2 linked regions of the Stegostoma tigrinum genome follow. The protein of the gene in region 1 interacts with the protein of each later gene in a pairwise test. Links are inferred from orthologs where the notes say so. Each region holds a gene or a part of one and is shown in the gene's direction. Other genes may lie near its edges.

Region 1 (7,137 bases):
AGTTCCCCAGAAGTAACTGCTGTGCATTTATTTTTGCTTGGGGCTGTTGTGAAATGCTCCCCGCGTAGTTAGCAATGGATGAAACACTAAAAACGTTGCGTGGCGTTAAAAACGCAGAAGACTGGGTGTAATGCCCATTCAATGTGGCAAAATACAGTATATGACACTCTAGGGTCCCTCACTGAAATTAACCCATATATTTAGATTACACTTTTGGATTTAACAGCTTCCCTCATTGTTCTCCTGCATAATTGCATCCCATCCCCAAGACCTCCCTTTCTGACCAGGGACGTTGGGAAAGTGGCAAACTGCATTGCTGGTTCAGGATATCTCCTTGCGTGAAATGTTCAGTAAGTTTTGGGCAGTACAACTTTTTTTTCACCTGATCCAAGGTCTTCCAGCAGCAGTTGGTGTATGCCTCAGTGTTTATCCCTTGACTCAAGGTCCTAAATAACAGAAGCTCCGTCTTACAGTGTTATTTGGGATTACCTTACCAACAAAACACTACATCTTTTTCTCAGAGATAGTAAGAACTGCCGATGCTGGAGTCAGAGATAGAACAGCGTGGAGTTGGAGGGGCACAGCAGGCCAAGCAGCATCAGAAGAACAGGAAAGTTGACGTTTCTGGTCAGAAGGAGGGTCCCGACGCCAAACCTCAAATTTTCGGCTCCTCTGATACTGCCTGGCCTGCATCTCTTACTCACTAGACTTTGCAAATATAAATGCCAGAAGGGTACTATCAGGACAGCATGGGGTGACTCCGTAATACCGTTTAGGCAGGAAAGATCTGACGGGGAGGACACCCTCAGCCAAGGTATCACTTTGTAGGTGGGGGGGGGGGGTGCATTAGCTCGGTTGGCTGAACGGTTGCTGTGTGATGGCAACAGAGTGGGTTCAATTCCAGCGCCGGGTGAGGTTACTATGAAGGACTCTCCTTCTCAATCCCTCCTCTCGCCTGAGGCATGGTAACCCTCAGGTTAAACCATCAGCATTTGCACCTCTGGAATGAGAGAGCAGCACTATACTCCAGCAAATTTGCCTTTTATCACGTGGTGCTCGTTTGGTAGACCTGGCAATGGAGTGGTGGTTCTGCCCAATGACTATCAGTCTCTTCAGAAGCCATTCAGCAGGACCCTATTGACTTGTTTTCTTTACCTGCACTGACTTCTTTTTTGACTGATAAGGGGTATGACACAGTCCAGCTGAGAAACATGTTGGTGACAATATAGCCAGAGCAATGTTTCATTTTCCTTGCCTTTGGGTAAATTTAGAAACATAAACCATGGATAGTGCATTTTAAAACCTGTATAGACACCACGGGTTGGAGTGTCGTCCTCTTTTTCTCACCAAATGGTGTGAAGCCCGTGTAATGTGTAGTTTGAAATCAGACTGCAACCAGACTCCAAGAGGAATGGTATCTACCTTTATGTTACCGCAGAGATGCAGTTCCCAGAAACGTTAACCACCTCAATTCGCTACAAAAAAGTGTTCCGGAAGCCATGGTGTTATCGAGGAACTGTTTAGTCCGGGAGGGCTCTCAGTGCCATCAGATTTCAGAACCTGATGCCAACCTTAAAACAAAGGCAAAAAAAAACTGGGAATGCTGGATATCTGAAAGTAAAATAAAAAATCAATGTACTAGAGAAACTTAGCAGCTACGGCTGCATCCGTTTGGAGAGAAATAAGAGTTCACGGTTCGGAGTCAATATCAATCTTCAGCAAACTGCATTTCTGAAGAAGTCATGCTGGCTAAGACAATAAGTCACAGGAGCAGAAATTAGGCCATTCAGCCCATCATGGATGATCAGCTTCGCCACCCCATTTTCCCGCTTTCTCCCCGTAGCCCTTGATTCCCTTCACAGTCAAGAACTTATCCATCTCTGTATTAAATACACTCATTGACTTGGCCTCCACAGCCTTCTGTAGCAGTGAGTTCTGTAGATTCAGCACTCTCTGGCTGGAGAAGTTTCTCTTTATCTCCGTTCTAAAGGGTCTTCCCTTTACTCTAACGCTTATAAAGGATTATAAAAAAGTGAAGGGCATGGAAAGGGTGATTAGTGAAGGTCTTTTCCTCAGGTCAGGGGTGTCCAAAAGTAGACATAAGTTTAAGATGTGAGGCGAAAGATTTAAAATGTACTTAAGGGGCAATATTTTCACACAGAGGGTGGTGCATGTATGGAATGAGTTGCCAGAGGATGTGGTGGAGGCTGGTACAATTACAATAGTTAGAAGGCATCTGGATGGGTACATGAATAGCAAAGGTTTAGAGGAATATGTGTCAAATGCTGGCAAATGGGTCTAGATTAGTTTAGCATATCTGGTCGGCATGGAGGAGTTGCTCCGAAGCATCTGTTCCTGCTGTACATTTCTATGACTGGAAATTGTAACTTGTGTTTCTCTGTTCATAGATCTAGGTCCAGCGGCGTTTACTACTTGGAACCGAACGCCGTTTTTTCAGCATTAGTTGAGGCTTACCACGGGGATTGTAGTTTGTAATTACCGATGCAGCGCACTGGTCTTCTTCCCGCGTGTCCTTAGCCACTGACTTCCGCAACGTTGCTGCAAAAAAAATGCCAGTGTAGGTCATCATCAGTATTTGGGTGAAATCGACTCCATTCAAGGAAATTGTCAAACTTGATCCATTGCCGTGTTTCAGATTCAGTTATAAATGCACCGTCCATGTGCGGAAACTGCACATCAAAACGGATTCATTTTTGTTCGAGCGTGAATGCAAGGGAAGAGAGGTACGGCAGAGGTTCTCTACAATTTGTGACTGTCTTTCTACTTGAAATGTGCCAACCCCCCCTAAAAAAACACAATGAGGGAAGTAAAAAAAACACTCCCTATTCAAATGATTCTTAACTTCTGCTGGGAAGGTGTTTGCATTTCGACTGTACATTGTGAAATACTTTCACTGTTTAGTATGTATCAATAACTGAGCTAAATGGTGCCATGTTGAAAATTGTTTTAAATTCCCGTCTAAACGTTGCTAAAAAAAAGTTTCAAAGTAAAACGGCTTTCCGGAATTAAGAGGAAAAAATGCGCATTGAATGACGTGCTATAATTTACCCAAGAACGTTCTGATATTGGTTGTTAAAGTTTTTGTAAATTGTTACCATAACACAGTGTGACTTGCAGCAGACCCGATGTGTAATACAGCAGACTGGGTTGACTGGTTCTGCCGAAACTCTGACTGACACATTTACCATATGAAAAGATAAACAGCGTCCATCAATGTCAGAAAACCAAAACCACAGACTCATTCGTACCGTAAACCTTGGATGCTATCTGTCGAGCTCATTCGAGCGAGAAACATTTCTTGATCCGCCCTCCTTGTCTGCCCTTCCCAGGCGTTGGGAGCAGGCTGCCTCATTGATAGCCGCGAGCACGGTGAGGACTCGGAAATAAATGTAAAAACAAGCTTTCGCTCATTGTGAAAAGCAGCAGCAGTTACAGGTAATGGCACATCAGCCATGCTGACAGCTACACCGGCCTTGCAATTGGCATAAGTACGCAGCTCGAGACCTCCCCACATACACTATTAAAATCGCAAAGCAGAGCTCTCATGCTTTTGAAGAGCGGAGCATAGCACAGAGACTAAACAATTGGTCGCAGATTGGATATCGCGCCTCAGTTATTTGCTGTTTATTTGCCTGATTTCGCCCATAGAACCAATGTTCGGGCCGTTCACTGGCGGTTTTGTTTGTTGACTGGTTATTTCGGGGTAATGGGGATGTGTAAATATTCGCCCGGAAAGTGTCTCCTACTGGTGGCAAGGGCAACTAACTAAGCATTGAGACCCCACGCGCACCCACCGGTCGCACACCTATCTCCATGGAGGAGATCATTTTCCCAGCACGGGGAACAGTAATCATAAAATAGGTTTGTGGTGGGTGACAATCTATTTTCTACAGTTGAAATGTCCTTTTAAAATGCACTGCACTGGATATGTTCCGAATTCAGCGCGCTGCTGACCCAGTGGCTGCCAAGGAGTTTACTCCTTGGAGGCGGGGTGGGGGGTTGGGTTGGTGTGCGGGGAGGTACTAAAAAACGCAGCTACCAGATACTCTCACCATTGAAGTGTAGGGAGTCTGTGGACCTAGATGAACCAGCTTGATTTACTCCTTGTGTGCCTTTGTCTCTCTACACCATGGACGGTGGGAAGACAAGCCTTGTGTTTTAACAAGGTGGACATATCAATGAGTCGATTGAAAAAAAGTAGTTAAACCTGGATAGGGGATGCAATATTGATGCCTCTCGTCAGACTGGTTTCAGAGAGGCAATATTCATTTTTAAAACATGAATTAGGCAGAGATTATAGCTACTTGTCAGCTTTGGCATGTCCATTATGTAAGGAGGGAGGGGTTTGTGTCAGTTCTGACATGGATCATTTTGGTTAAGTCAGACTGTATGAAATCGACCCTTGATCTCTTGTTGTTGTTTCTGGGACTGGATTTGTGTTTTTGCCGGGCAGGGGTTTGTTGTTGAATGGGACATGTGGTCTACACCTTGATGTTCGATCACACCAACAGGGTAGGTGTCTCTTTAAATTCCCTTTGCAGTTTCTGTAGAACTTGGCGTTGCCGTTTTAAGAGCACTTTGAAGTCTCCATTTGGTCAGTTCCTTGGCCTCCGGGTCTGACATCTCGGCTAATGAAATTCCCTGATAACTGGTCTGGAAGGGTTGATGGACTAACAGATAAATCCCTTAATTTCTTTAAACGGGTCTTCAGCCGTTCCGGTGTGAAAGGCGGTTTAATGATCAGTCAGACTTCAGATGAAAGGGAAGCCAGAGGGTTAATGAATGAGCGATTTCCTGCGCAAATGAAACCAGCCAAAGAGCCACAGGTCGCCCCAAAGGAACATTCAAAGAGACAGGACAGCAACAAAGGAAACGCCTGTACTTCGTAATGCATATACTGTACTCAGGATGAACGGAAGAGGTTCATGTGTTCTGCCAGATTATTAAATGTATCATTAAAATACGCGGGCGAACACACGCACTGCATCTCTCTATATAAACAAACAGGCTGTCCCACTTTGCAGCTCAAATTCGCTTAACGATTACAACCAGGAATCATTTAATATTCCTCATAAATTATTCCTGAAGACATTTAGTGTAGGTTCCCCGCCCCATTCAGAAAGTTCCGTGGATTGGCATTAACATTCTCAGCATGAATACGGTGGCAGGAGACAGTTGTTTTGGTGCATTCAAATGACTGGAGCTACAACAAAGAGGCGTTTAGGAAGTCGGGATTTCCCCCCAGTGTGATCTGAACACAAAAGCATTATCTAAGGGTAGGAGCTGCTGGAAATGTTCAGCTCCTTAGTACCTGGACTTTCAATATTCCGATGCACGGTTTCTATTTTTTGTTGGTAAGTAAAAAAGCCCAAACATAGTTAAAAAAAACTAAAATACTTGTATGTGTTCAGTAATGGCCTTTGAAAGCGAGATTTCGTCGTTGCGGGTCTCTTTTTTGATGAATGTTTCCTCTGCCTCTTTTGAAAACCACATTCGTTTTTCTCATCTGAAAGCTTTCTCTGTATAATGGGAACCAGCAGGATGCGATAGAGGGAGAATTGCACTGAATTCCGGTCTGCGGTTTATTTTACAAATGAATAATAAAGCCGCCGAGGGCCCAAGGCAGCGTGAGGGGCTCAGATGATTTTTCTCCAATGGCTCGTTTAGCAATGAGGAACATTTTATTTTGCTCGTAGAACACGGATAGGGGTCTGCGTGTGTGTTTGTGTGTGCGAGAGTATGTTTTGTGTGCTTCGACAGCCAAGATACAAAATGTGTATTTTCTTAAATCTCGCTGAGTAAGAATATGGTGAGAACTGCAGCAGAATTGATACACGACTCTAACAGGAAATAATGTTTACGTTTAATGTTTCAATACAGTTTCTTCAATGCTTAACGTTACTATGAAACAGAACGTAACTAATTTAGTCTGGCATATGCATTATATGATTCGTGGTAAATTGCAGGGGAGGTTGTACGGGGAAATCTAAGTGAAATGAATTACAAGCACCCAACGCGACAGCGATTGTCTCTGGTCGGATGCGCCGCTTCCTCCGATCCAATTAGCGGGACACTACCCACCTATCTGCTCTCAGCGGCAACCAGAGTCCCCAGGCCCGACCAATCCGCTTCCTGGGAACAAAGGAAAGGGGCGGGGAAGAAGGCGGGATCCTCACACCTTTATCCAATCAGAACCCACTAACCGGGGCCGGCTTCGGCCCAGCCAATCAATGCTGACCGGATGCGCCGTATCCTCTTCGTTTCACCCCCCCCATACCCCCGGACACGGGGACCAATCGGCGGCGTTGGAATGCGCCCTTGCGGCTAATGAGCCGCAGTGGAATGCGAGCTGGCGACCAATGATGGTGTGTGTTTGTGCGGGGCTAGCGGTGGAGGGGACGGGACGAGCGGTCGCCAGTGCCACTGAGGACAATTGGAAAGCGGACGGCGCCGCTACGGCTGTTATAAAGAGGAATTGTGCCGAGATTTAGCTTACCACAATAACAGTGCATAGGAGCAAAGCTTCACTGATAGTCATTCACACACACATATACATAGGCAGCAGAGTTTTGGCACAAGGTTGGGAGCTCAAACTCTTTCAACACCTACAGCAATCAGGACCAGGGCAAACCGATGCACCCAGAGACCGTGCGTTACAGGTGACACCTTCCGTGTGTGGCAACCAAGGTGCAGAAATAAAAGTCTTTGCGGAGAGCTTGACTGGTGGCCAAACAAGGAGACGGCCTTGGCGACAAACCCCCACCGACAGCGTGCTGCGGGAAGCGCCGCTGAGGAAATCACCCGAAGGACGCTGCAGCGAACGGGGCCAGAGCGCGGAGTGGAGTGCGCCGCGAGTGGTTGGCAGCACCGCCACCCATCCCCGCCCCCCGCCCCCGCGGCACGTCTGCATCTCGGGGTCAGTGCAGCGTGGGCTCCTGCTCCTTTTAGCTTCACAAGTTGCCCTCCCGTTCAGTCTTGTTTTCGGTTCGACGACGCGTCTTCTAAATATACATTTGGCTGATATAAGGCTCGAATCTGGATTTACCTTGGAAAAGACTTGGCTAAGGCAGTAATAAAATGGATTTGTATTTGGTGGATATATGGAAATAGGTAAGA
Region 2 (6,931 bases), on another chromosome or scaffold:
TTAGGAGCAGGAAAGCTGACATTTCGGGCCTAGACCCTACACCTTGTTATCTCGGATTCTCCAGCATCTGCAGTTCCTATTATCTCTACTAGGGTTTAATGGGTCCTTTTGAAATTGGCAAACAGTAACCAGTGGGGTGCCTCAAGGATTGGTGCTGGGACCCCAGCTATTCACAATGTATATTAATGATTTGGATGAGGGAACAAAATGTAACATCTGCAAGTTTGCAAATGATTCCAAGTGGGGTGGGAGGGTGAACTGTGACAAGGATGCAGAGATCCTTCAACATGATCTCGACAGGTTGGGTGAGTGTGCAAATCAATGGCAGATGCAGTATAATTTGGATAAATGTGAGGTTATTCATTTCAGAAGCAAAAACAAGAAGGCAGATTATTACCAGAATGACTATAAATTGGGAGGGAAGTGTGCAGTGGGACCTGGGTGTCCTTGTGCACCAATCGCTGAAGGTAAGCATGCAGGTGGTAAAGAAGGCAAATGGGATGTTGGCCTTCATTGTGAGAGGTTTCAAGTCCAGGAGTTGCAGTTATACAAAGCCTTGGTGAGGCCACACCTAGAATATTGTGTGCAGTTTTGGTCTCCTTTTCTAAGGAAGGATGCTCTCACTCTTCAGGGAGTGCAGCGAATGTTTACCAGGCTGATTCCAGGGCTGACAGATCTGACATAAGAGGAGAGATGGACTAGATTGGGACTGTTTTTGTTGGAGTTCAGACAAATGAGGGGGAAATTTCACAGAGACTTATAAAATTCTAACATGGCTAGATAGGGAGATGCAGGGAGGATGCTCTCAGTGGTGGGTATATCCAGAACCAGGGCTCACAATATGAGGATTTGGGGTAGACAATTCAGGATGGAATTGAGAAGATATTTCTTCACCCAAAGTATGGTGAGCCTGTGGAATTCATTACCACAGGAAGTAGTTGATGCCAAAACATTGGAAGTTTTCAAGAGGTGGCTAGATTTAGCACTTGGGGCAAATGGGATTAAAGGTTATGGGGAGAAAGCAGGATTAGGCTACTGAGTTGGGCCATCATCCATGATTGTGCAGAATGGCGGAGCAGGCTCGAAGGGCCGAATGGCCTCGCTCTGCTCCTATCTTCTATGTTGCTATAAGCTGACAATTCATGATGTCAGAAGGGCTATGCCACAAGATGTGAATTGTCATAAATTGCTGGATGCTTTGCACAATTCAGCTATTTATTCTCATAAAACAAAGCTTGAGATCAGTCCCTCTGTGAGAATCAAGAAACTGCTGGACTTGTACTGTGAGTAAGAATAAATCTCACTGAGGTCTTGTAATTAATGACATAAGGATACTGTTAGTGCTGAGATTATAGGTCTGACATGAAACCTAACCTCTCCAGTCTGGAAATAGAAAGAATTTAAGCTGTGGACTCTCAGTCCAGTTGGTTGTAAATTGTTCCTAAAGCTTATTTTTTTTGTCATAAATTTTAAGTTTCGCTTTTGTCTCCCTCTCTTAGCTCACATTCTCATTCTCTCACTTTGGGGGAGAGGCAGTTACTCTTAGAAGGAACTTCAAGCCATTCGGCACATAAGAGGACATGAGCAGGTGTTCCTCCTGACTGAGAACCCTGGAACATGGCATCCTGCCTGTAGTCATCTAGCCGGCAGTTCCAACATTCAGTCGCACCACAGAAGTTTGTGCCTACTGCTGGCACACCTGAGTCCCAGCTTCAAGGAGTGATGCTGCGAGAAAGGTGGGTGTTGTTAAGACTGGCTCACTTAGTAGGCCCCTTAGTGGGAGGGGCCACCTGGAGACAGGGGAGTGGCTCGAGGTCAGAATCTCTTTTCCTCTCTGTTTTATTTTATCAGCCATCTTGAACTTGACGTAAGAAAACCTGTATAATAATAAGTATATATTTAATAATGAAAAAGTCAATTTTGACACAAAAAACTTACATCTACACAGCACCTTTAAAGTACAATAAAAACACCTCAGGGTTATCCACAGGATACATCTTACTAATGCCCTTTATGGAAGGAAATCCACTACTTTACCTGGTTTGGCCGAGGTGTGATTTCAGATCCAGAGCAAAGGTTTCATTCCTAACTGCCCGCTGAAATGGTTTAGCAAGCCACTTGTTTTCAGGGCAATTAGGGATGGGCATTAAGTGCTGGTACAGTCATCCACACCCAAATCCTATACATGGTTATTTTCAGTCAGATGTTGTTAGAATCTTGCTGCACATTTCATGTAATAAAAGCAAAACACTGCAGATGTTGAAAATCTGAAATGAATACAGTTCTGAAGACAGCACATAAAATGTTAACTCTATTTCTCTCTCCACAGGAGTGCCGTACCTGCTGAATTTCTCCAGGCATATCTCTTCTGTTGTGAGGACAGATCTTTTCAAACAACCTGTTCAAACACCTCTGGAACAGACAGGACTTGAACCTCGGACTCCTGGCTCAGAGGCAGGGGTACTACCACTGTGCCACATAACCCTTAAAATACAAATTGTTTGCAACTTGCATTACCAAGAGAATAATGTTGATATTTTCTAATCAATCTGTTCAGAGATGTTATTACACTGATATTAATTGTTATTAGTTCTGAGGAAGGGTCACCGGACCCCCCACCAACCTCCGGATACAACATATCATCCTCCGACACTTCTGCCATCTACAATCCGACCCCACCACACAAGCTATTTTTCCATCCCCACCCTTGTCTGCCTTCCGGAGAGACCACTCTCTCCGCGACTCCCTTGTCCGCTCCACACTCCCCTCCAACCCCACCACACCCGGCACCTTCCCCTGCAACCACAGGAAGTGCACACTTGCTCCCACACCTCCTCCCTCACCCCCATCCCAGGCCCCAAGATGACCTTCCACATCAAGCAGATGTTCACCTGCACATCTGCCAATGTGGTATATTGTATCCATTGCACCCGGTGTGGCTTCCTCTACATTGGGGAAACCAAGCGGAGGCTTGGGGACCACTTTGCAGAACACCTCCACTCGGTTCGCAACAAACAACTGCACCTCCCAGTTGCAAACCATTTCAACTCCCCCTCCCATTCCTCAGACGACATGTCCATCATGGGCCTCCTGCAGTGCCACAATGATGCCACCCGAAGGTTGCAGGAACAGCAACTCATATTCCGCTTGGGAACCCTGCAGCCCAATGGTATCAATGTGGACTTCACAAGCTTCAAAATCTCCCCTTCCCCCACTGCATCACAAAACCAGCCCAGCTCGTCCCCTCCACCCACTGCATCCCAAAACCAGCCCAGCCTGTCTCTGCTTCCCTAATCTGTTCTTCCTCTCACCCCATCCCTTCCTCCCACCTCGAGCCACACCTCCATTTCCTACCTACCACCTCATTCCACCTCCTTGACCTGTCCGTCTTCCCTGGACTGACCTATCCCCTCCCCACCTATCTTCTTTTCTCTCCATCTTCGGTCTGCCTCCCCCTCTCTCCCTATTTATTCCAGAACCCTCTCCCCATCCCCCTCTGATGAAGGGTCTAGGCTGGAAACGTCAGCTTTTGTGCTCCTGAGATGCTGCTTGGCCTGCTGTGTTCATCCAGCTTCACACTTTGTCATCCGAAACATTAACTCTGTTTTCTCCTCCACAGATGCTGCCAGACCAGCTGAGCTTTTCCAGCAACTTTGCTTTTGTTCCTGTTATTACACACCTCTGGAGCTGGGACGTGAACTTGCACCTGCCAGCTCAGCGACACAAAGAACTGTTTCAAAAAAATGTTAGCAACTTCCATCATCAAAAAGATTCTATACCAACCCGCTCAGAGGTGCTGTTCCACACCCTTAGAAACATACTCTGTCGCTCAGCAATGTGCATGCTTCTCAGCAGAGGCCATATGCAATGCGGCGCAGTTACTCATCCTGCCTAGGGGGCGGCAGCGGCGGCGCCTGGCTTTCTTTTCGTGTCCCTGGGAACGCGTCTGCTTTGGCGAGGTTGCCTGTTGTATGATGGAGAGCGACTGAGTGATGGAGGCACTGAATGAATGAGTGAGTTGGAAGAAGGGAGGAGGTCTTCTTGCTGTATGGGTTTGGAGGGTAGAGGATAGGGATGATGATGATGATGATGATGATGATGGTGGTGGCGGCGGCGGCGGGGAAACCGAAGATACTCCTGGAAGCTGTACATCTCATTAAGGGCCTCAGGCCTTCCTGCAACTTAATCACAAACGTACACCGCCCCTGTTCTTTTTATCTTGGTTAAATAGCCTTCAGGAGGAAATTTGATCTCATCAAAACGTTAAATTTGCTTGCTTGTGGTTTTGATGCAATTAAAATGTATGATTTTACTTAAGTTGCATTAGCATGGTGTGAAGAAAGCACGAAACAGCCACACAGTGACTTCAATATAATAGGAAATGTGTGTGTTTTCGAAATCTTTTGGAGCAGTTGCTGTACTTAAACGTTCAAAAGGCCAAATTTGCTGCAATAATATTGTTATCTGTTGGTTGTGGTGTCTGACGTTTGATTTGTCCACTAGTTATAGTCTCAAACAAAATACGGTGGCTGTTAGAGATCTGAAAGAAGAGGAGTCATTGGATTCAGAGATAGTGGGAGCTGCCGATGCTGGAGAATCTGAGGTAACAAGGTATAGAACTGGATGAACACAACAAGCCAGGCAGCATCTGAAGAAGGGTCCAGGCCCAAAATGTCAGCTTTCCTGCTCCTCTGATGCTGCCTGGCCTGCTGTCTTCATCCAGCTCTACCCCTTGTTATCTCAAAGTCATTGGATTCAAATGTGTTAACTCTATTTCTATCGCCACAGATGTTGACAAACCCACTCCAGCATACACTGTTTTTATTTAATTAGAGTCTCACTTCAAGGTGCAATTATTACCAAGCTCTCCATATTTGGGATAAAATAATGGGAAAGTGTCGGGGATTCTCAGCGGGTACTCCAGCACCTGCGGACAGAGGAACAGATGTAATGTTTCAGGTTGATGACATTTTGCCAAAAACAAAAACAACCAGAGACGTAATGGGTTTTCATTTGAGTACAGAGACAGGGATAAGAGTGAAGAAATGAAAAGCTTGTCTAGAGGAAGTATAAATGGGAATAGCAGGATTATTGTCCATAACTGCAGTCTGAAACAGTTATTTTGTATTCATTAACGGGATGAGGGCACCGCTGGCTATGAGCATTTGTTGCCCATCCTTAATTGCTCAGAGTCAGCCACATTTCTGTGGGTCCGGAGTCACATGTAGGCCAGATCAGGTAAGGATGGCAGTTTCCTTTCCTAAAGGGCATTAGTGAACCAGATGGGCTTTTCCTGACAATTGACAATGGATTCATGGTCATCATTAGATTCTTAATTCCAGATATTTTTATTGAACTAATTTCCAATATCTGTTGTGGTGGATCTTCAATCCCAGAATGTTGTCTGAGTCTCTGGATTAACAATCAAGCGACCATACTACTAGGCCACCACCTCCCTAATAGTGGGAAAACATATATGATCTGAAGTGGTTAAACTCGATGTTGAGTATGGAAGACTGTAAAGCACTTGGAAGAAAAGATACTGGCCTTCAGCTTCTCTGGACAACTGCAGAAAACCGCAGACAATTGAAACTATGTTGGTGAATTAAAATGGCAGGTAGCCAGAATTTTGGGGTTGTGTGGACAACGTGGTATTTGGAAAGACAGTCACCCAATCTGCTTTTGCTCTTACTGGTGAAGAAGAGACTACACTAAGTGCAGTGAATCCTGTAGACTAAATTGAAAGAAGTACAAATCAGTCTTTCAGCTGGAAAATGGGTTTGGGATCTTGGTGAGTGGGAATGCACAAAGGCAGTTCTTAAGGAGAGTCATACTGGACTCGAAATGGTATTTGTCTTTCACCATTGATGCAGCCAGACTTGCTGAGTTTCTCCAGTGTTCTCTATATTTATTTAAGGCAGATACAGTCTTTCACTTACCTGGGAGAATGCCTGTGGAAGGACTGAAGGTGTTGGGGATAATTTGAAGAGTGAATCTGGGGTTGCAGGCAAGACAATCCTTTTGGAATACTGAATGTGAAAGTACAGCAAGGTGCTTTGGTGGTGGAATCACATTTGGGATAGCGTACAATGATAAATTGAATATGGAGACTGATCTATGGAAGGTGAGGACAAAAGCAACTTCGTTATGTCCAGGTATCTGCATTTTTGAATTGCACCTTTTACTAGTTGCAGTTAGTGTGAAACCAAAATGATTTGCTTCGTTTAACAATGATCTGTCACGGAACGCTATAGGTTTGGTACTCTCAGGAACTGACATTTCAGTCATGCTGCCATTTTTGCATTCCAATCATGATTTAGAAGGCAGGACAACTACATCTTTCAATTGCCGCTGAGTTTTATAAGCAAGAAAACTGTCATTTTTTGTGGGGGTGATACTCTTTACATATTGAGATGTTAAAACTTTGTTTAAAAAGTTCAATTTTTTTCTAAGAGTTCACAGGTTTGGAGGAGTTTCCAATTAAATTGTACGATCAAGCCATCAAAGATTGCACAGTGTATGGGGAAATAACCTGTAAATATGGAGCAGGGTAAGTTTCTTTCCATTTTTTAAAGACCATAATTTGTGTCATGGCTCCTGTACAGCATAACTTGAGCACGAGTTGCAGCTTCTTCGGTGCCAGATTTGCTAAACTGCAGAAAAAAGTTTGCGTGAAATTATGTTCTTGTGCAGAAAGCAACACCACTCTCGAGTAAACCCATGAAACAAATGTTTGTAAACTTGCAGTTTAAATGCTTCCCTTGGCTGATTACTGCAGGAAGCTTGCTGAATGTGGATCCTTTTAGTTTACAAAAGCAAGTTGACTTTAAAATACATTGGTTAATTAATTTTTGTATGGTGCCTGAAGGTATTGTGAGAGAGAGAGGGTGAACAGAAACTTGTAGCCACACTAACCTCACCATATCAGGAG

What was found.
Region 2: the proteins of spry1 (region 1) and gemin4 interact in binary tests that used the Homo sapiens proteins (3 or more experiments, as listed by UniProt). The link is inferred for Stegostoma tigrinum from reciprocal best matches to the Homo sapiens genes SPRY1 and GEMIN4.

What each region holds. Positions count from the first base shown.
Region 1 is NC_081354.1:34,545,123-34,552,259, reverse strand, and holds the start of spry1 (protein sprouty homolog 1), read left to right. Parts: upstream 1-4,091; 5' UTR 4,092-4,533; intron 4,534-4,572; exon of another isoform or gene 4,573-5,375; intron 5,376-6,355; exon of another isoform or gene 6,356-7,131; intron 7,132-7,137. UniProt on the Homo sapiens protein: Inhibits fibroblast growth factor (FGF)-induced retinal lens fiber differentiation, probably by inhibiting FGF-mediated phosphorylation of ERK1/2. Inhibits TGFB-induced epithelial-to-mesenchymal transition in lens epithelial cells.
Region 2 is NC_081380.1:34,516,433-34,523,363, forward strand, and holds the start of gemin4 (gem-associated protein 4), read left to right. Parts: upstream 1-3,922; 5' UTR 3,923-4,013; intron 4,014-6,453; 5' UTR 6,454-6,540; coding exon 6,541-6,550; intron 6,551-6,931. UniProt on the Homo sapiens protein: The SMN complex catalyzes the assembly of small nuclear ribonucleoproteins (snRNPs), the building blocks of the spliceosome, and thereby plays an important role in the splicing of cellular pre-mRNAs.